Struthio camelus: one gene and its partner. The protein of the gene in region 2 interacts with the protein of the main gene of each other region in a pairwise test. Links are inferred from orthologs where the notes say so. Each region holds a gene or a part of one and is shown on either strand. Other genes may lie near its edges.

The links.
Region 1: the proteins of SPG21 (region 2) and ribose-phosphate pyrophosphokinase 1 interact in binary tests that used the Homo sapiens proteins (3 or more experiments, as listed by UniProt). The two-hybrid records come from large-scale screens. The link is inferred for Struthio camelus from reciprocal best matches to the Homo sapiens genes SPG21 and PRPS1.

Annotation. Positions count from the first base shown.
Region 1 is NC_090952.1:26,177,557-26,188,882, reverse strand, and holds the start of ribose-phosphate pyrophosphokinase 1, read left to right. Parts: upstream 1-6,113; 5' UTR 6,114-6,500; coding exon 6,501-6,622; intron 6,623-9,059; coding exon 9,060-9,243; intron 9,244-9,582; coding exon 9,583-9,681; intron 9,682-11,326. UniProt on the Homo sapiens protein: Catalyzes the synthesis of phosphoribosylpyrophosphate (PRPP) that is essential for nucleotide synthesis.
Region 2 is NC_090953.1:4,121,178-4,131,388, reverse strand, and holds the start of SPG21 (maspardin), read right to left. Parts: upstream 4,275-10,211; 5' UTR 2,696-4,274; intron 1,980-2,695; exon of another isoform or gene 1,799-1,979; intron 184-1,798; exon of another isoform or gene 97-183; intron 1-96. Other genes in the region: CLPX (ATP-dependent Clp protease ATP-binding subunit clpX-like, mitochondrial), read left to right, coding at 4,655-4,724, 9,240-9,400. UniProt on the Homo sapiens protein: May play a role as a negative regulatory factor in CD4-dependent T-cell activation.

The DNA.
Region 1 (11,326 bases), on a different chromosome or scaffold from region 2:
TACACCGCTGCCACCAAGCAGAATACGGGTGAGCCCCGTTCCTAAATACAGCTCGTCTCAAAGCAACGGCTTAAGGGACTATGGTTAAGGGACTTTTTTTTTCTCCTCAAAGGAAAGGAGAGGGTGTTGTAATGGACTCAGTGAAGATCTGGAAGCAAGACATTTCTTGTTTGATCCTCGTGGTTTTGATAGTAGCAGAGAGCGGGATTTATCTAAAAATAATCCCCGTGAAGAAAAGGATAGAGGCAGAGAAGCTGACGGAAAACAAGCAGCCACTGAAAATGCTTCCAGGGCTCACGGTTAGTGTTTCCACTGCGGCCACAGGAAAAAAAAAAACCCTCCGTTTTCAAAACTGTTAAGTGAGAGCACTGGAAAGTAAAAGTAAAATCCAGACCGGCCTAAGACTGGAGCTAGCCCCTAAGCCACAAAGGCAACGTTGTGAATTCACGCATCTAAAGGGCAAAAGAGTTGTGCTATCCATATCAAGTGCCACTCATTAACAGGACCGGTCTACCACAAGCCATTGCCATCACAAGGCAAACAGAAAGAAGAAAGCTCTCAGCAACAGGCTTTCTGCATGAAAACAGGTCCTTGATTAAGCGACTGGCGGTAACTGAGTGGCAATTGTATGTAGGAATGTGCCAAGAGACCAAAAAAAGCTACTTGTCTTGACATCACTATGCAGTTTGATAGAGTTAATGTGCTACTTAAAACTTCCTGGAAAATATATTCTCAGGCCATGCAACACAAAGGCATTTCTGATTAAATGAACCTCCGTAGAATCAGATAAATAAAAAGGGAGGTTTGCCATTCATGCACTTGCAGGTACATGAATGTCCTGAGGTGGACATTAATTTATTTCTTAATTCCCAAATCATGAGAGAGCCCAGCAGCTCAAACTACAGGCTAGTTCTTTCCAGTACCCAAATGAACTAGCGCTTGCCCACACGACACGATTCGGGACAATTAAATCGAATTGCTTCGCCTGGGAGCACACAATGCAATTTATCCCAGTGGGCTTTCAAAAGGAAGCAAGCCAAACTGAATGAGATGCTTCGACTCCCAGTGTCCGCGCAGGAGTTAAGGTACCAGCTCAGTCCAGCTCCCGGCCAACCTCGAGTTAATTCGACAGACAACCTGGATTAACAGGTTTTCAACCACACAGTCTCTCCCTTCATCCGGAACCAGAGAAACATCTCCCTCTTCAAAGCTGCCTCTCCTTGTCCCTACTCATATGGTAAGTGGAAATGCAAGTTGTCAATAGGCAAGCAGTTGCTGGGGAAAGCTCATGAGCAAGCTTTTTGGATGTGTTTGACTCAGACGTTGTTGCATATTGATTAAAAGCTTTTCTTCAATAAAACCCCTGAGATGATCCTGCCGTAAGAGCTTCACTAACGATAGCAATAAATCATTAAGGCAGGTGGACTTTTGTCCTTATCCTCAAAGCGTGGTCTAACCGTGGCAAAGACGTTCTGGAAACGAAAATGCTGAGGGGCACTGGAGACTTTTCCTGTATTGCCTTTGTGCCCATCGGCTAAGGCAGCAGGGCGATGCCTCTGAGAGCGGCCACGGCGCGCAGCCCCCCGGCCCCTGCGGCTTTGCGCTTCGCCTTGGAGGGAAAGGTTTCGCCCACCAGCGGCTCCGCAGCATCTGGCCTCCTGGAGAGCAATATCTGCTGCTTCATGGAGGCTCCTGCAAGGATGTTTGACCTCTAGCTTGAGAAGGGGGAAAAAAGAAGTCTTTCATACTGCCCATGAAACTTTGCCTGGCCCCGGCTTACAGGATTAACGACCTAATTTTATCTTTTCTTAAATTTTTCCCTCCTGCAAATCCCGCCTCCACGATCCCAGGAGGACACAGATAGAAACGCTACTTCCCAAATGCTGCGCAGGGGAAGCTCTGAGACAGAGCCTGTAAATGAGAAGCTTAATTTGCACATTTTAATACACTTTCTGCTGCCTTCATCCACAGCTTCGCAGAGGCTGGTTCGTGGCTAGGTTGGGAAGGGACAGGGTATTGGTTTCAGGTTGGAACACAGACACAGAAAACACCACTTCTGCATCCAAGAGCAAAAGTAGACTTCAAACTAGGACACGTGATTCAGAAGCGGAAGCAAATATTTCAGGGACTAGCAGTAAGTTATCCAGCCCCCAAATTCTTCAGACTGCAATGGCAGTCACAAACCTGCTGTAAGCCTGTGTTTTGTGGGGAGGAGAGGCCTTGAAGTTATTTTTAGAGCATATAGCTTTAATCACTGGAAAATACGTATGGAACGAACAGCTGTTACCAGACATCCCAACTCGCAAATAACACCAACTATCGTTGGAGAAAAAATTGCTGTCAACTGGAAAAGGACCTCATCAGAAGCATGAAATGAAAGTCGGATTTTTTTTTTTTTAGGTGTCTTTCGGGCACAAGTAGAGGAGTCACTAAAACGGCTTGTTTGTGGCACCAGAGTACACGAGTTTAGCGGAGATGTGGAAGTAAAGAGCTGACAGCAGCAGAGCCGGGGTGCTGCGGCCGGGCGCAGAGCACCCGGACGTCGCTGACATCCCTTTCCCAGCAGCATCCCGTCTTTGTCCCTCAGCTCTGACGCGGGCTTAAATCATTTTCACGCGTGAGAAAAATCATTTTCACGCGTGAGAAAGGCTAATTCAGACTGAACGGTCCGGTCAGGCTTTGCTGCAGCTGGGACCAACCCGGACAAGGACGAATGAAACATTTACAGGTGCGTGGCTACTAGAAATGTGGGAGATGCCCCCATCTGACAGAGAAGCTTTTCCTGTATTATTAAAATGAGAAATGTTTAGAAAGAAATTGGAAATAGAAGGCTGCGTTCTTCCTTCCCCGTTCTTTGCCGCTACTGTGTGTCACAGCCTTTTACAAGCCGCTGCGCTGACACCCGGATACTGGAAATCACCATCGATACGATATGCCATTTCCGCAGCCGCTCTAAGCATGGGAATTAGTATCTGTTTTAGTCCAGCTGGTTTCCAAGTTTAACGAAACCTTGCAAAGGGCTGGAGGAAACCCCCTCAAAGTAGAACTGTACAATCATTCGTTTATTAGTCTTTTGGGGTAGCAACAGTAGCCTTTGGGGCCAGAATATTTGCAGCAAGAGGTAATGTGGCCATGCTAAATGAGCTATAGGTTATTTCTTCTGTGAAATGCTCGCGAATTCAAAGTAAAGACTTATCAGTGCTACATCAGTTGCAGAAGTTTGTTATCTATGAACCAGCTAAGTAAAACTTGTAAGAATTACGTGATCACATGCATATCTTGAAGAAGCCGTTTGTGGCTTAGTTTTTATTTTGTATAATTAAAACCCTTTAACCACACTGTTTATTTTAGCAAAAGCTAAATTAATATATGTAATTTAATCACATACAGACTGAAAGCTCACAGGAGATTAATTACCGAATTAGGTACAAAAATACCTGATTATACATACAAAACAAACCCTCAGAAATGAAATTAAACAGCCTGTTAAAATAATGCCATTTGGGCTTTGACATTGAGCCAAAAGACAGAAAAAAAAACACCTCTGTATTTCAGTACAGAAAATCCACCACTACTATAATTTTTCCAAACTCAAGACGTGGCCAAAGGCTATTTGCATCAGAAAAAATAACTAGCAGCATGCATGGCTGAAAGTTTTGAGGAGAAGAACAAAAAACATTGATTCGGGGGTATTCTTGTCTGGGGGGTTTTGCAGTGAGCCTCCCTCCGCACGTGAGGAGTCGGTGCCCCTTCCCACATAAAGCCACCGTTGGCCCTTAGCCGTGGGAGCGGGTCGTGATCCGGCCGAAGGAGAAGCGAGCGAGCGCGCAGCCTGTTTCGAGGCAAAGAGGAAAGAAAAACAGTTATTAATACGTCTGCCGCCGAGGAAGGATAAATTGGCAAGGCAAAAAATAAAATAAAATAAAATAAGGCGCATCTCGAAGATGATAAGCATCATCCTTCCGGCATTAAAAGCGTGCTGGGACTCGACTCCCCCCTCTCCGGCTGCGCTGGCTCCCTGCGGCGCGGGCACGGCAGGGGCAGCGCCGCGCGGAGCGGACGCCGGCACAGCGGCCCGGCTGGGTACCAGCTGTATGTCACGCTGAGGGGCTGCAGCTCGGCGGAGTGACACCGGTACAGCGTGACACGGGGCCCAGCAGCCTGGCAAGGTGACGTCGGTACAGCATGAACAGAGGGGCACAGCAGCCCGGTGAGGTGATGTCAGTACAGTGTGACACGGGGGCCCAGCAGCCTGGCGAGGTGACACCGGTACAGCATTACAGAGCGGCACAGCAGCCTGGCGAGGTGACACCAGTACAGTGTTACAGGGCGGCACAGCAGCCTGGTGAGGAGACACCAGTACAGTGTTACAGGGCGGCACAGCAGCCTGGCGAGGTGACACCAGTACAGTGTTACAGGGCGGCACAGCAGCCTGGCGAGGTGACACCAGTACAGTGTTACAGGGTGGCAGAGCAGCCTGGTGAGGAGACACCAGTACAGTGTTACAGGGCGGCACAGCAGCCTGGCGAGGTGACACCAGTACAGTGTTACAGGGCGGCACAGCAGCCTGGTGAGGAGACACCAGTACAGTGTTACAGGGTGGCAGAGCAGCCTGGTGAGGAGACACCAGTACAGTGTTACAGGGTGGCAGAGCAGCCTGGTGAGGAGACACCAGTACAGTGTTACAGGGCGGCAGAGCAGCCTGGTGAGGAGACACCAGTACACTGTTACAGGGCGGCAGAGCAGCCTGGTGAGGAGACACCAGTACACTGTTACAGGGCGGCAGAGCAGCCTGGTGAGGAGACACCAGTACAGTGTTACAGGGCGGTACAGCAGCCTGGTGAGGTGACACCAGTACAGTGTTACAGGGCGGCACAGCAGCCTGGTGAGGAGACACCAGTACACTGTTACAGGGCGGCAGAGCAGCCTGGCGAGGTGACACCAGTACAGTGTTACAGGGCGGCACAGCAGCCTGGTGAGGTGACACCAGTACAGTGTTACAGGGCGGCACAGCAGCCTGGTGAGGAGACACCAGTACAGTGTTACAGGGCGGCAGAGCAGCCTGGTGAGGTGACACCAGTACAGTGTTACAGGGCGGCAGAGCAGCCTGGTGAGGAGACACCAGTACAGTGTTACAGGGTGGCAGAGCAGCCTGGTGAGGTGACACCAGTACAGTGTTACAGGGCGGCAGAGCAGCCTGGTGAGGAGACACCAGTACAGTGTTACAGGGCGGTACAGCAGCCTGGTGAGGTGACACCAGTACAGTGTTACAGGGTGGCACAGCAGCCTGGTGTGGTGATGCTGGTACAGCATTACAGGGGGGCCCAGCGGCCCAGCAAGGTGACACCGGTACAGTATGACACGGGGACACAGCAACCTGGCAAGGTGGTGCCAGTACAACATGACATGGAGGCACAGCAGCCTGGTGAGGTGACGCCACTACAGTGTGACACCTGGGCACAGCAGCCCAGCAAGGCAACGCCGGTACAGCGTGGCACAGGGCACAGCAGCCCAGCAGGGTGATGCCAGTACCGCGTGACACAAGGCACAGTGGCCTGACAAGGTGATGCCAGTACAGCGCTACATGAGGGCACAGCCGCCCGGCAGGGTGACGCCAGTACAGCGTCATGCCGCGGCCCGGCGGCCGTAGCCCGGGCGACGGAGGAACACGGCAGGAGGCCCGGCGGCCCCGAGGCGCCGCAGCCCGGGGGGCCGGCGGGGCCCCAGCCGCCGGCGGGGCCATGCTGAGGTAAGCGGGCCCTGCGCGTGTGTGAGGCGGCTCCTCGGCTGGGCCCGGCGGCGTCAGAGGGGGCCGTTTTCTGCCCCCGCCGCCCGCTCTGCGGGGCACCGCGGCGGGCAGGGACACCCATCATGGCGGCCGGGGCGGGGGTTGGGGGGGGGGGGCTCTTGCTAATCACGCGGCCAACGGAACTCCCCCCCTCCCCTCTCCGAGGCCACGTGAGGCAGCGCCGTCGGCCCGCTCCGGCTGCGGCCGCTGCCGCTCTGACCAATAGCGGACCAGGCGGCCAGGGGCCGGCCAATCGCCCACCTCCTCCTGCCCCTCGTCCCACCCCCCGTAGCGGATAAGGAGCGCGCCCTGGGCCGCGGGCGTTACGCGCGGCCGTGCGCGCTCACGTCCCTCCTCCCTCCGCCCCTCCCCCCCGGGGGCTGCTGTTTAGGCGAAGGGCGGGGCGGGAGGGAGACCCTCCGCGCCATTGGGACGCTCGGCCGGGCCCCGCCCCCAGGCCCCGAGGAGCCAATGGGAGGCGCGAAAAGGCGTGGCCACGGGGGCGGGGAGTCTATAAAGGGGGCGCGCGGCTGGCGGGAAGAGGTAAGATGGCGGTGTAGGTGCGAGTTGGCGTGTCTTGCGCTTCCCCCCGCCCCTCCACAGGCGCCTGGGTTTCCCCCGCCGGAGGAAGCGGCTGGATCCCAACTCTCAAGCCGGCCACGGTGTGAGGCGGGAGGAGGAGGCCAAAGCCTCCGCTGCCGCCTGCGCCGTCATGCCTAACATCAAGATCTTCAGCGGGAGCTCGCACCAGGACCTGTCTCAGAAGATCGCCGACCGCCTCGGCCTGGAGCTCGGCAAGGTGGTGACCAAGAAGTTCAGCAACCAGGAGACATGGTGAGGGAGCGGAGCGGGAGGGAGGAAGGGGGGGGCGGAGCCGAGCACTACAACTCCCAGCAGGCCGCGCGGCGCCGCCGCGGTGGAGCCCGCGCCAGCGCCGCGCGGGGGCTGCCGGGAGTTGTAGTGCGGGGAGCTCGCCGCCGTGGCGGAGCGGGGCCTCCCGGGGCGGGGGCAGCTGCCGGGCCCGGCAGGGCGGCGGCGGGCGGAGCGGCCCTTATTGGGCTTCCCCTCGGCGGGGAGCCCCGGGGGAGCGGGGTCCCGCGTGGGAGAGGCGGTAGACCCCGCGGCGGGGCGGCGGCGGGGGAGCCGCGCTGGGCCGCGCTGCCGCTCTCATCGCCTTTAGCGGCCTCGGCCGACGCGGGCGTGTGGCGCCGTCGTGCGTGCCGCGCCGCCCGGGAAGCCAGCGCCGGGGCTGGACGCGGCCCCGGGATTGCGCTGCCTCTGCCCTTATCAGCCTTTTCCATGGTGGGGCCGAGCCGCAGGCTGCGGTGACTTGCGGCTGGGCCGCTCAGCCCGCGGGGTGTGGCCGGTGCCGTCAGGCCGCTCGGGAGAGCATCGGGACCCTGAAGCGCTGGGTGACATCGCTGCGCGGTGCAGGAGGCTGCAGTGATGCCTCGGGTGTATTCCCCCTGACGTTTACTTCGTTTTCTCTGTGTGTTCTTCATAGATCTTTGCTGCTGTCATGCTCAGGAGAGGCTGAAAAGTTAGTCAGGGGTCTTAGAGCCTGGTCTAGCAAAGTACAGTATGCATGGCTTTTTTTCCCTCAGCATAACCTGCAGAACCTTACGTGATTGTGCCAACCCACCACTTTATTCTGGAGACAGATCGTTTTTTTTTTTTTTCTCCTGAGAATTCAGGATAGACACGTGAGGCAGAATGTCACAGAGGTTTCCATTGCATGGGTATCTGCTGTAATTGAAAACCTGACAGGTACTACAAAGCGTTGTAGAGGAAATCAGTAAAAAGAGTCTGTCTGTGACCTACAGCTGTTGCTGTTGCACTGTTCTCATGGCTCTTACCTGTCCAGTTGGCTAGTCAGGGTCTTAATGTCAGCAGGTAGCGTGACTGTTAAAGACCTGACACATCCTATGTACCTTAATAACCCGATGGCAAATATTTACCTGAAGAAGCAAGATTGTTAAAACAATCAGTCAGCTGACTTGATGTTTTTGTGCTGTAAGGCTCAGAGAGCTCTCATTAAGCTCTGACCGTTAGTAGGTACAGTTGATGACAATTGTAGGCTGACAACTGTTAAGTCAGACAGTTACCCTACTGGGAAGTCCTCGTGCTCTCTGAAATATTGCTCGAGGGATTGGTGTATGCTGAAAGCCAGTGTATAAGACAGACAGCAAAATGACTGAACCAGCAGCTTGCTGGTGCAGCTTAAGCAGCAGGACTGTGAATGCGTAGTGGTCATCAAAAACATGTTAAGGAAGGATGGGAAGTGAGATGACAGAATGAAATACTAGTATTAAAAATCTACCCTAAGGGTGTATAAAAATGGAGCCATTAGGAGCGTGTTGGGTGATTGTCCCCTTGCTCCTAGAGATAGCTCAACGAGATGGCAGCAGTCTACAGAGCAGGTGAACATCTCCAGGGCAAGAAGAGAGAACCTATGGAGGAACTCTGTCCTCTGTAGGCTGACTTTTGGTTACTTCCAAATCTGTGGCATGCTTCTCTAAATTGAAATGCTGGAAGTAGGAGTAGTTAATTTTTTCCTACAAAAGGCCTTTTGCAGCGCTCATCTCTGTGAAGCCTCAAACCTTAGACTACTGCTTTCTTGTCAACTCTGCTTTTGGTGCAGGTGCCTCAGCACATGCACTGAAGCTTGCTGGCAGTTTGCTGCTGGCAAACAGGACCTTTGGCTTGTATTCACAGTCCCTTCATCAGCAGGGATTAGTGTGCATTACATCCAGAAGGAAATTAACCCCCAAAGCCTTTCCAAAATAAAATGCTGGAGGGCCTCTCTGTCCAAGGCTGTCGATAGCTGTTATGATTCTAAATTTAATAATCTGCTGCAGTGTAGCTTCTGTTAGAAGTTTGGCTCAGCTTTCTCTGCTGTCTGGCCATCATGCTTGCTTCGTTTATACACTGCTTTTAACTGAGGTGGGCATAAATTTCTGATGTGGGGCAAACAAGGACTCTTCTAGGATGCGTGCACGCTCAGATTGTGTTGAGATTGAAAGTACAGGTTGAGTGTTTTTAGCCTTGCTGACTGAACCATTAACTCTGATCAGTGAGCAATGAAAAATAGTCACTGAGCAAATAGGCAGCAGTGTTCCTGCTCAACACTCGTGATTATATTGCCTTGTCACCCACAGAGCCTTGGGACTGCAGTCCCATGAGTTGCAGCCTTGGTTGGTCTGCAGGCATATGTAATGGCTGTGTTTAATTTGTGTTTGGACACAACTCTCCTTTCTCCATCTGTTCCCAGTGTGGAAATAGGTGAGAGCGTACGTGGGGAAGATGTCTACATTGTGCAGAGTGGCTGTGGTGAAATCAATGACAATCTGATGGAGCTCCTTATCATGATAAATGCCTGTAAGATTGCCTCAGCCAGCAGAGTGACAGCTGTCATACCCTGCTTTCCCTATGCTCGTCAGGACAAAAAGGACAAGGTAAGGATTTCAGTAAGGGTTTCTGTTGGGAAGATGAATGCATGTCTCAAAAGTCCTGGCTGCTGGTTAGGGATTAGATGAAGCTGAATATGTAGAAGAAGAGATGATAGGACTGACTTTAACTTCTTAAACCTCAGGGCATTGGACTGGAAAATCGTCTTTTCATTAAAATCTAGTTCTTGAAAATATACCAAGCTGTAATCACCCATTGATGAAAAGATGCAATGTTAATGAGCGCTCCTTTTAGTAACTGCCTGTGAATCATTGCCTAGAAGCAGAAGGCTGGCATCTTGATGAGGGAGTTGAACTTGTCTTAAACACTGTTTTTTCTTGTACTAGAGTCGAGCCCCGATCTCTGCCAAGCTGGTTGCGAACATGCTGTCTGTGGCAGGTGCAGATCACATAATCACCATGGACCTGCATGCCTCTCAGATTCAGGTAGGAGCTGAAATCGGGAGAGCGAGTACTCATCTGCTCACATCTGAGCCTGTTTACTGCCTTGGAGGCTTGCCAATGATCAGCTTTTTATTGGACACAGCAACAGTTGGGACTTGGGAGCACAGGACTGGAAAGGACTTGTAGGATCATCAGAAGAGGATGGGGGGGGATGGATAATGGGTTCTTCTGTAAATAAAATTATAGCTGTTCTTGACTGGGCTAAGTGATGACTGCTTAAATGAATATTGGCTTAGTAAATGTTTCATGCAGCTTTATCACCTTGCAGTGACGCTGTGTGTTCTTAACTCGTCCTTTGAGGAATTTGAGACAGAATGGTTTGATAGTGTAGACTGTTCTTAAATAATTTGCTAGTTTAGACTGTTCTTAAACACTGAGCAGAATTTTGTGATACTGAACTGTCAGGATGTGAGCAGTGCACTGAGGCAATGGCTTCTTGTTGGTTTGGCACAGTGGCTCCCAACACTGCTGCCCCCAGGTTAGCGCCTCCCCGAGATGTCCTAGTACAGCTGCTTGTGCGGGTGCAGTTGTCCAGAGCAGTGATCTGATAGCTTGCTGCTGACAAGACGAGCAATCCTGCTGGAGTCCATTCGCTTCCAACATGGCCCTTCAGTTGGCTTTGGTCCTCTCCCAAGCTCCCAGCTGACTGAGCTAGTTACACTGGCAGAAAATTATTCACAGCTTTTTGCTGGATTAGTGAACTGAACAGTCTCACTGAGAAACTGAAATGTTCACTAGGCCTGCGTAAGAGAAGCAGCAAGAGTGTGTACCTCCCCAGAGAGGAGGGGCAGCAAGCTGTTGAGTTGTTAGTCTTGTCTAGCTCCATCCTGAGCAAGCTCTCAGACCGGGAAACCAGCTCAGTGAAACTGAGAGGATTGGCAGAGGTGGGTTTATCTGTTGTACTGCTGTAAATGCTTTGAATCTAGAGTAGTTGGACATCTACTGTCTGAGTGAAGTAGACGGACTTGCTGTCATGGTAACAGTTGAAAATGCAGTCATTCACACTTCAGTATAATTTGTTCCAGTGTAATTTGTCCAGAAGTACTGTCTCAAATGGAAGAACTCTGGGGGCACAGCTGAGAAAATTCGCAGAAGGATCATGAAGCAGAGGAGCAGAGCCCAAGGGGGTGGGAAGAATACCTTCCTTAAGGTATTCTTGAGGTCATGATGTGTGCCATAGGGTTGAGCTTTCAACAGCAGCAATGGTGAGATTTCAGTTGAATATTTGGTTTTGTGTTGATCATCTCCAGCATCTAGCTGGCTCCTGCCAGCTTCTTATAGGTGCTGGGTTACATGAGCCCGGAAAGGATGATGTTAGAGATCTGTTACCCCTTGAATGTAAGGCATGACTGTTTTTGCCAAGGACTCCTCTGTACCACCTGCCCCCTTGTTCAGGATTAACTTCTGGCTTTTAGTGACCTTTGAGGTTTACCTGCAGGAGTCTGCTGGGTCGGTGTGAAGTTGTGGAACCAGCTGCTGCATTAGGTTAAAAGCAAATATTACTGAAGCCTTTTTCGTAGGTTTCCAGCTTGCTGTAGGTGCAAACAGTGTAGGTAATGAGCATTAAAGATCAGATTGACTTTTGTAAACAGGCAGCTGGCTGCTCTGGAAACAAGTGCATTGGGTG
Region 2 (10,211 bases):
GCTCTCCCCAGCGCTGGGTCGGCGCGAGCCAGGCCGCCGCTCGGCTGCTCTCTGCGACACTGGCCATGCGGCGCCCGCTCCCATGGGCCAAGAGACCTGAATCAGCAGCAGCAGCACCGAGCGCCTCGTCGCGACGGGACGCGAACGCCGGGAGAGGCAGGGGAGCTGCTGCGGCTGCGAGTACTTCACGAACGCCAGGCGAAGACAGCGGGGGAGAACATGGAGTTACGGACCCTCGGGACACAGCGGCAGGCACCTTCCTCCCCTCTCGCTCACCGCTCCCCGCACTGTGCTGCTCCCGGGTGCCCCAATACTGACCCCGGCCCGCCCTTCCCCGGAGCACTGGGTCACCCTGCCCTGCTTTGGGAAAGCGGGGCACAAACCCGCTCAGCATCCTGCATCCGCTGCAGCGCAGGCTGAGGCAGCCCCCACCCTGCCCGAGCCCCCCCAGAAGATGAACCCCCAGGGAAGGGCCTGGGGCTCCTTGCAGGGCTGAGCCGCAGGGGCCACGAAGCCCCAGCCCGGGGGCAGCGCTGCCCCCAGCCCCTCAGACCTCCTCCAGCCCAGAGGAGTGCCACCCTGGAGCGCCCGCAGCCCAGTCCCTCTGAACGTGGGATGATGCCGCCCTGGAGGCCCCCCGGCCTACAGTAACTCTGTCTCAGGGTCCCCCTGGTCCCTCAAGACTCCCCTGAGCTAAAGCCCCCCCTCTCAGCCCAACCCCCCCCCCCAAGCCTCCCAGCCCCTCAAGACCCCTCTCAGCCCCATTCCCCCTCCCCCAAGCCTCCAAGGACCCCCCTCTGCCATCACCCCTCCCAGAGCCTCCCTGGCCCCTCAAGGCCCTCCTTAGTCATCACCCCTGGAGCTCCCCCATTGCCCCAGCACTTCCCTTAGCCAACAGCCCCTGAGCCCCCTGCAGGACCCTCCAGTCCAACTCTCCCCCCCCCCCCAGCCCAACATCCCCCTCCCCCAGAGCCCCCCCCCAACCTCTCAGGGCCCTCCTCAGCCATACATCCCCCTCAGAGACCCCCACAGCCAAACACCTCCCCCTGAGGGCCCCTTCCAGCCTGATAGCCTCCCCCAGAGCCCCACCAGCCCCTTGGGGCCCCCCTCAGTCCAACAGTCCCTCCAAAGCTCCCCTAGCCCCTCAGCCATACACCCCCCCCCAGCTGCTCAGGCCCCCCAGATCCCCTCAGTGCATCCCCACCAGAGCCCAACAGCCCTCCCGGAGCCCCTCAGGGGCCCCCCTCAGCCCAACAGCCCTCCTGGAGCCCCTCCAGCCCCTCAGGAACCCCCCCCAGAGCCCCCCTCGACCCAACAGCCCACCCCAGAGCCCCCCTCAGAGACCCCCCCCTAAGCCCGACAGCCCACTCGGATCCCCCCTCAGCCCCCCAGGGACCCGCCCCTCAGCCCCTTGGGGAGCCCCCCTCAGCCCCACTCCCCCCCCCCAAGAGTCCCCCTCAGCCCCTTGGGGAGCCCCCCTCAGCCCCACTCCCCCCCCCCAAGAGTCCCCCTCAGCCCCTTGGGGAGCCCCTCTCAGCCCCACTCCCCCCCCCAAGAGTCCCCCACAGCCCCTTAGGGACCCCCCTCAGCCCCTTCCCGGAGCCCCTCTCAGCACCTTAGGGACCCCCCCCCTCAGCCCCACACCCCCCCCGAGCCCCTCTCAGCCCTTCGAGCCCCCCTCAGCCCCACACTCCCCCCCCCAGAGCTCCCTCAGCCCCCCCGACACCACCTCGAGCCCCCCCCGGTCCCTCACAGCCCACTCAGCCCCGAGCAGGGAGGCTCCGAAGAGAGGGACAGCCTGGCTCCCGCGACGACGAGCCCCCACCTTCACGGCCCGCTGCGCCCTTACCGGCTCCGCGGGACCCCCGGTACCGGCGGGGAGGGGGGGGGGGGGTGCCGGGGCCTGGCTCTCCCGCTCCGCCTCCCCCGGCGCACCCCAGCGGCGGCGCCCGCCGCTACTTCCGGGTGCGGCGTCACGCGCCACGTGACGGCGGGGAGGCGCAAGGGCGGGGCGGAAGACGGCCAGCTGCCATAGCTGCCGAGGCGGAAGAAGCGGGCCGAGGCGCCATTGTTATCGAGGCAGAAGGGAGGGTCACGTGATCCCTCCTGCGGGGGGCCGGTGGGGGAAGCCGCCATGGCCGTCGAGGGAGCCGCCGCGTCCGCTCCCCCGCCCCGGCCCCGCCGTTGTGCCGCTCCGCCCTGCTTGGCAGAGGGCTACGTGCCAAGGGTTGCTGCCATCCAGTGGAGGCGATTTAATTTAATTTGACTTATTTTTTTAAATATATGTGAGAAATCCCATTGATTTAAGTAAAAGTACCAGTGAGTGAAAAGGTCTGTTTTCAACTCAGGGTCTTACTTTAACCGAGCCTGTTTTACCCAGCTCCCTGGTGCGGTTGTTAACGGGGTGCTCGTTCCTCCAATGCAAAACCCGGACCTTTGGGTCGGCTGGGCCCGTTCAAACAAAACGTGTTTTGGAACAGCTAAATTCAAGGTTATGGCCGAGACGGGGCCGTGACCCTCGGTGAGCCCTCGGGGCCCTGGCGGGGAGCAACCCCGTGGAGGCAGCTGCGGCTGAAGCCAGGGCGACCCTGGGTGAAAAAAAGATTTTTTTTGTTGTTTTTTTTTTTTTTAGGTAAAAGGGGGAAAACGTCCAGGGGACCAGCTCTCACGCCTGCCGTGGGAGGGGGCGCTTTACCTTCGGCGTTGCCGTTTGGCCAAAAGACGTCGGGTTCAAATAATCGGTGGAAGGGAGTTGCGTGCGGTTGCGTCAGGTGGCGCGACCGCGCTGCCTGCCGCTCGCGGCAAAGAGGCTCCTGCAGCTAAAGCTGAGGAAATCGTCAGTTCGACTCCTGTTTCATCAGCAGCGTTTTACCGGTTTGTTTTCAGCACGCCGTTCCCGTTTGAGAGGAAGCTCCGGGGCTGACTGAGATAACCAGCCTGCTGCTGTCGGCCACCCGAACGCACGAGGCAGCCGGTGACAAACCTTGGTTCACAGCAGCACGCAAACCCCTGTCCAAGACGACGCTGTTGCTCTCTCCAGGCTTTCGTAATTTGTGATTGCAGGATAAATAACTTTTATCGATGCCTTTCAGTACGTCCTTCCAATCTGCTATTCCTCTCTGATTCTCTCCAAAAAAAAAAAAAAAGTTCCCGAAAGGAATCGGTGGTGGATTGAATACAGATTAAAGTGGGGTTGGCGGTTGCCTGGCAGTAGGTGGTGCTGGCTGCAGGTGGTGCTGTTAAACCTGTACTTCGCAAGGATTAAAATCCATCCAGACCTTGGCAGAAATGAAAAATGGCATTCGATATTCATACTGTTACACGCAGGCAAGCAGTACAGAGTGTAATCTCCGCTGTTAGCGTGGTCTAATGGCGTTCGCTGTGCGGCAGCTCAGGTTTGTAGGCGAGACCATCAGGTAATGCATTCTCATCTCTGAGCTGTTACTCAGAAAGGCAGCTGGGATCAATGAGCTGCACTTGATCAGTGTGTGGCAGATGAAAGCTGAAGGAGGGCGGAAAGACAGAAACACCCACAGGTCCCTGCCAGCGGCAGGCGCGTTGTCTAAAGGATGCGTTTTCGTTGCTTGGCTTCTACGCGTTTTTGTGATCGCTGATCTGACTGGAGATCACCCCAGGACAGGAGGCTTCGTTTTCATCTTTCTGCCAAAGTTGTTCTAATTTGCCTCGTGTTTTCCGTTGCTGTTTCAAGTTTGCTGCTTGTGAAAGGCTGTTTTTATTATTTTGGAGGTCGATGGGAAGTGTTTCCCGCATACTACCTTGTGTTTAAAATCTGGAAGCAGATAATAAATGTTTCACGTTTGAGAAGTTCCCCTCCTCCCAGCAGACGCGTGTTCAGTCCCCGCCGGGCGGGTTTTCACCGGGCTTTGCGTCTCCCAAATCCTGCCTCGGGAGTTGCACGTGCGGAGGAGTCGGCCTTCGCTTTGAACGTTTCCCTGGAGCAACGCAGGGCGAGAGCTGCGCAGCGAGTGCGGGGGCTTGCTGAGGTCTCCGATTAATTTTTGTTCTCCTGATGAGCCGTACCGGTCTACGAGCGCTTTAGGAATTAAGGATAACGCGGCCTGGAGCGTGGCCTTTATGTCCTCCTACGGGGGAGTCCGAGGCTATACAGATATGGGAATAACGCTGCGTAGAAACGAACGCACGTCACAGCTGCTGGGAAGAAAATCTGGAATTTTGGAGTTAGAGGCAGGAATCTCCTGACGTTTGTGTGCGGGAGGCGAGGCCGCCGCCGCGCCCCGCGGCCGCACGCCTGGACTACACTTCCCGTGATGCACTTTGCCGGCGCATGCTCAGAGCTCCCTGACCCGCGGGACTGCATCTCCCAGGAGGCAGCGCGCGGCGGCTGGGGCGGTGGCGGGCGAGGCGCCGCGCGCGCTGCCTGCTGGGAGCGGTAGTCGGCGAAGGGATGGGAGGGGCGCGGTGAAGCCAGCCCGGCCCTGGCGTCAGTGTAGGCGGTGCCGGGCGGTGGAGGAGGAGGGCAGGGGAGGGGGTGTTTACGGCGGGGGCGCGCGCGCGCGCGCAGTGCCGCCGCCGCTACCGAGGCCTAGTCGGCGGCGCCAGGCGCGGTGCGGGGGGGGGCGGGGGGGGGAGCGGGCCGGGCCGGGCCCGTTGCCGCCGCCGCCGCCGCCGCGCCATGTCCGCCTGCCACAGCTGCGCCGCGGCCGCGCGCCTCCTGGGCTCCACGCTGCCCTCCGCGCGCAGAGGTAACCGCCCTCCGCGCGGGCCTGGCGGCCGTTGGGCCGGGGGAGGGGGAGGAGGGGGGGTGTCGCCTTCCCGCCGCCTCCCTGAGGGGAGGCCGCGTCGCTGTCACCGCCGCGGGGCCTGCGGCCGCCGCTCCCCCCAGCGCCGGGCCGGGCCGCCGTGAGGGCCCCCGCCGCCCTCCCCTCCTGCTTGCGTTTGTTTTATTTTCCCAGCCGCGGGTGGCGAAGGTGGGGGTCCCGCGGCTTGGACGCCTTTACCCCGCTGGCGTTCGCCGGGGTGGCGAAAAGAGGGTTTCGCGGAAAGGGGGCGATTTGCAGCGCTGATTGCGCAATGCTGCTTGTGCCTTTAAATGCGCTTTATTAACCGACTGGTACAAATCCTGTGCTTCTTGCAGCTTGGGGTGTTCCTCGTGAGGGCTCGTGCTCAGCTAGCGAAACATAACTGTTTTCCGAGTTATTAAGAAAGTGGCGCGGGGCAAAATAGTTACTGGAGGCTGCAGTGGAGGGGGAATGTTACTTTTTCTTGGTTTTGCGTCTTTTCGGGATGTTCTTGTCCGTCTTAAGTGCGAGATACTCTATGCTGCTTTGACTGAAAGGCAAACAGTCCTCAGACTGTGCTGAAAATCTCTGCTGCTGCCACATTTCCAGCATTTCTTTTTTTTTTTTTGAAAAATGATACTCTCAGCCATAGCTGAATGAGTCAGAGAAGACTCTTTAACTTCGTGAGGTAAGTTAACTCATTGCAGTTGTGTTCGCAGCCACATCTCCAGCATGACCCGTGCTGACAGGGTTAAGCCAGTACTTCCAACTCCAGCCTGCCTGGCCTCGTGCAAACCCACTGAAACAATAAACTTTAAAACAGATAACGTTCTGGATTTGCTTCAGAATTGTTATTTTTATAAAGATAACAATCAATATTTTTCTTTTGTCAAAACTGGCACGTAAAAGGGCAAATGAGACTAAAACGCAGGTATAGAATAGTAAAATTATTTATGCATCAACTTTCTATGAAAGTTTTTTAAAATCTTATTTTGGTGGTTGTCACTGTATCTGCTGTGCCAGGTAGTTAAGTTTGGTATTACTCTGAGGTTGACTGTAGTTAGTACAAACTTGAGAGTATGCAGGGTGTATGGATTGGCCTACTAGATAGGGTGTTTTCTGGGACAGAGATGAGACTTTTGTTGTCAGTCTCCCTGTGAGTACCTTAGGTGGTAGGCTCTTTAAAAATATTTGAGGACTTGACCCAAAAGTTGGTATTTCTTATGGTATTCATCTGTGAACTAAAAAATAATAAAGTGTAAAGGAGTCTCCAACTATTTCATAACCTGCTCCTCTGAACACCCCAGAGAGGTGCTGTTGCTGCTGTCAATATTCATATGTTTGGTGCTCGCTCTTTAGATTTACTGTTTTCATTTGTTTGTGTTTGGGAAAAATTTGCTTTCCATTAAAAAATAAAACAAAAAAAGACCTAACCGTCAGTGGTATATCTGAGAGTATTGCTGTGCCAGCCAGTTGTTACATGTTTGAATGTTTATCAGAGTATCTGTGGAAATCGCTAGGCGTTGGACTGGAATGTTGATTGTTTTTGACAATTTGTTTCTATGCTTGTTTGTGTTTATGGAAGTAAGTAGTTGTGATAACTTTATTCCTATTTCATTATTTAATTGTACAGTGACGTTTTGTCAAAAATATCATTCAGACCTGTAGATGGGCTAAACATGGAAAGTCTTGTCCCTGTGCGTCAAGCTGATAGGAAAAAAATTATGTTACTGTTATGTTTAGCCTATTTACAGCCTTCACAATTCAGTGTGACTGGCAAGGTAAGTTTAACATTATACCCTAATGGCCGACCAACTAAGACCATCGTGAGAGAAAGAGGAGCATGTGTTTTTTAAAGAAAGTTATCATGCTCAAATTGTTCTTTCAACAGTAGGCTCCTACCAGGCTCGCAGTGGGTGTAATGGTGCTGATTGGGCAACATCTGCTGCTAACACCGAAGCTGCAGTCCCACAGCTGCGATGTCTCTGGTCGTAGATTGGCATAGCAGGAAATGTGGCACGTATCAGCTCAGCGCTTGACACTTTGTGTATTGCTTCATAGTTTATTCAGTATAGTTTAATGTGTCTTTTCTGTGTCACAATGGCACTCTGATTTAAAACTGATGATCTTTAGTCCTTTTGCGGTGTTTGGTGGTAAAATGTTTGACCAGTCTCTGCATTGGTATTTGGGCCTTTCTCCCTAGGCAGTTCTCTGGGGTGAGAAGCTATTGCAGGAGAGTTGTATGCAGCTAGGTTTTTTGGTCGTCGAGGGAGGAGGGGGTCTTTTGGTTTTGTGTGTGTTTTGGAGGGGTTTCTTGTTTTGTTTTATTAATAGCTGTTAGGTGATAAACGCTCAGCCCAGTTTATTCTCTACTGAAAGGTACACTTAGCACTCTTGATTTTCAGAGTTCTCTGTGCATATTCAGTCAAAAGGACACAACTGACTTAAACTCTCTTCTGTTGCTGTAACTAATCCCTATTCTGCTTGTGAAAGTGAACCAATATTTTTCTATTTAACTGAGGGTATTTAGCAATTTGTATATATTTTCATAGTTTTGTCCCGTGGAGCGTGAGGTGTTTTTCTGTGTTGCAGTGACACGCAGCAGATCTTTAGTCCTCCTTCAGTGTTTTACAGACATAAATAACGCTATTATAATTTTAATAAATTGTATTTTTAGTGCTAAGAATATCTTAAAATCACCTTTAATTTCAAATATCTTAGGTAGCATATATTTTGATAAAACAAATTTCATTTGATTCAGTGTTCTTGGTTGTAAGTTTGTGGAGGTCTACAGAAGTTTTCCCTGTAAAATTAGGCTGGCCCTTAATGCTTTTTTTCCCTATATTTTTCTATTCTTGCATTATAGTAATATAATACAGTATAATTAAGAGGAACTTTAAGTCTCCCTCTTTTCTTTAAGATTCCAAGTCTTAATTGTAATTCAAAAGAGTTTCAGTTAAGTTATTAAAAAATTTTTTTTATTATTTTTACAAATGTTTTACAGAGCATTGGCTTAGCTCTTTGGAGAATTGTCTGCTTAGCCTTCAGATTATTTGGATAACAAAGTTGCATATACGTTTTATTAATGTAGGGTTATGATAAAAAACATTAATTTGAAAATATGTTAAAATTGATGGTGCTTAATAAATGATGAATTGAGTTAAATCAATGTTATGAGGAGTTAGTTCTGGTCATTTTATAGCTTTCTCAGAGCAAATGGACTGTACTTCATTTTCCATTCATATAGATTGCATTTTATTTTAGAAAACATTTTCATCTTCTGTTAACAAAAAAAAAAAGAGAGAATTTTTTTTTTTTTAATAGAGTAGAAAACGTGAATTAGGGTTAAGGTTATGATGTTGCTATATAGCTTTTCCCATTGATAACAGTCACAGAATTATTACCAGATATGTAGAGGAATTGCCTAGTTTAAGCAGAAGAGAAATTTAAGATCTGGATTCCAGATGTTTATTTCTTTGTGTTGAAAGATTCTGAAATCATGGGCATGAAAATGATAAAGGTTGGTTTGTGTCATGCCTAGTCATGAAATATAACCTTACAAGTTGTTGCAAAAGGAGGAAAGGATCATTCAGTTCCCCAATGAATTTTTTTCATGTTGGAGTTAAGCTATTTCAACAAAATTAAGATTGTATTAAATTAATCTGTCTGTCTATAAAAGGTCAGCATATGCCAAATGAAAAATCCAAATCTGCATATGTGGTCCACGGTCTCCGAGACACTTCTATGAAAATGTTTGTATAATGAGGAGACACTTTGAAAGTCTGTCTTTTTTACTTTTCAAATATGTGCTAGAGGCTATTGTGTTCTGAGGACCAGCTTCATGAATGGGATGTGGTTTGTTTGTGATGCAATGGAACTCTGAACTGCCTGAAGTTAGAAGACAAGGGATACTTCTGGGTCATTTGTAGATTATCCAAGCAATTGTTAATGTGGTAAACATTAAGGTGATTACATGCACTTATTTTTGAATAACTGAAATTTGATTATTCAAAGTTGAATTCTGTTGCTGAAACCTTTGATTTCCATCTAATCTAAATCAATTCTGGGATTTGATGTCGTTAGGATTAGAAACAGATTATTTTTAATCAACACATCCAAAATTGCTTATTTAAGGTATACATATATATTACATTTTGAACAGATTACACCTATGGAAAACACTGTTTTTGCTTCAGTGGTGTTCCTAAAGAGTTGAATGAAAGAATATAAAACAGTATATTGGAGCTGTGACTATATTTTGCTCGTGACTATATTTTGAATGCATGTATCTTGGTCGAATGCTAACGAGGTAGTTCTGTTATTTGACTGTAGTGTCAGCAAAAATTTCACTGCGGTGTATTAGTTCATGTAATTAGCTTTTTATTTTCATATCTGCGACTTCTTACTCGGCGAACGTGTTTGGTCAGTGGAAAGAAAAACTTATGTCCCATAATTTTAAAGGATTTCTTTTGCTTTCAGGTATTACTTGTGGTCGTACACGCATCCCGGTTTTAGGAAAACTTGGAACTTTTGAAACTTGTTCCCTAAGAAGAATTCCTCTTAGAAACTTTTCAGAAACACCAGCATATTTTGCTTCAAAGGATGGTGCAAGCAAGGATGGTTCTGGAGACGGAAGCAAGGTAGCCTACATGCGTTATCATTTTCAATTCATTTTCTTTTTCTTTCTTAAATGTTTTTAATAGTTTATCCTTGCTTAAAATAAAAATCTTCTTTGAATTCTTGCTAACTCTGAGACTTTTGATCCTTCAACTGTTCTCTTTCAAACATGATTGTATGTTATCCCAAGTGGGCTTTTTAGAGTAAATATGTTTTTAAATGATTGTTTTCAGCATTGACTTGGTAGTTGTATCAAGCAGGACAACTTTGTGAGGAGGCTAGCTTTGTTCCTGTTAGTAAATTTTAGTCTGTTTTCATCTCAGGCTTTTTCTATAGTTATAGTTAATAAACAGCCTTTGCAAATAAATGATTACCTCAGGATAAAACTGCTCCTTAGTCAGCAAATAAGATTTTCAGAGTTCACAGGGTACTTTGATAACTTTGCCTTAGTGTGGCATGTTCTGAGATCTCATGGACTAGCAAATAACACAGGGGTTCTCTGAAGGTTCAGATTAAATTTGTTTTAAAAATTTTTTTAATTGTATTCTTCTATCTTTGCGAAGGTTGCCAGGAGAAATGAGCGGGAAAGCAAGGTGTATTTAAAAAATAAAAATAAAAACACATACCCTATGACATAACGCATATTTTGCAGAGAGACAGAAACAGATAACTGTATTATAAACTGTTCCGTTTACTTCCCGACTCTGATACTTTTAATATTAGAGACTTCCAAAGAAAGGATGTTTAAAAAGGGAGAGATTTTTGTTCTAACATGTAATAACTGTTATCACTATCAAAGTGTGAAGGCATAGAAGGGATACGTTTAAAAAATGT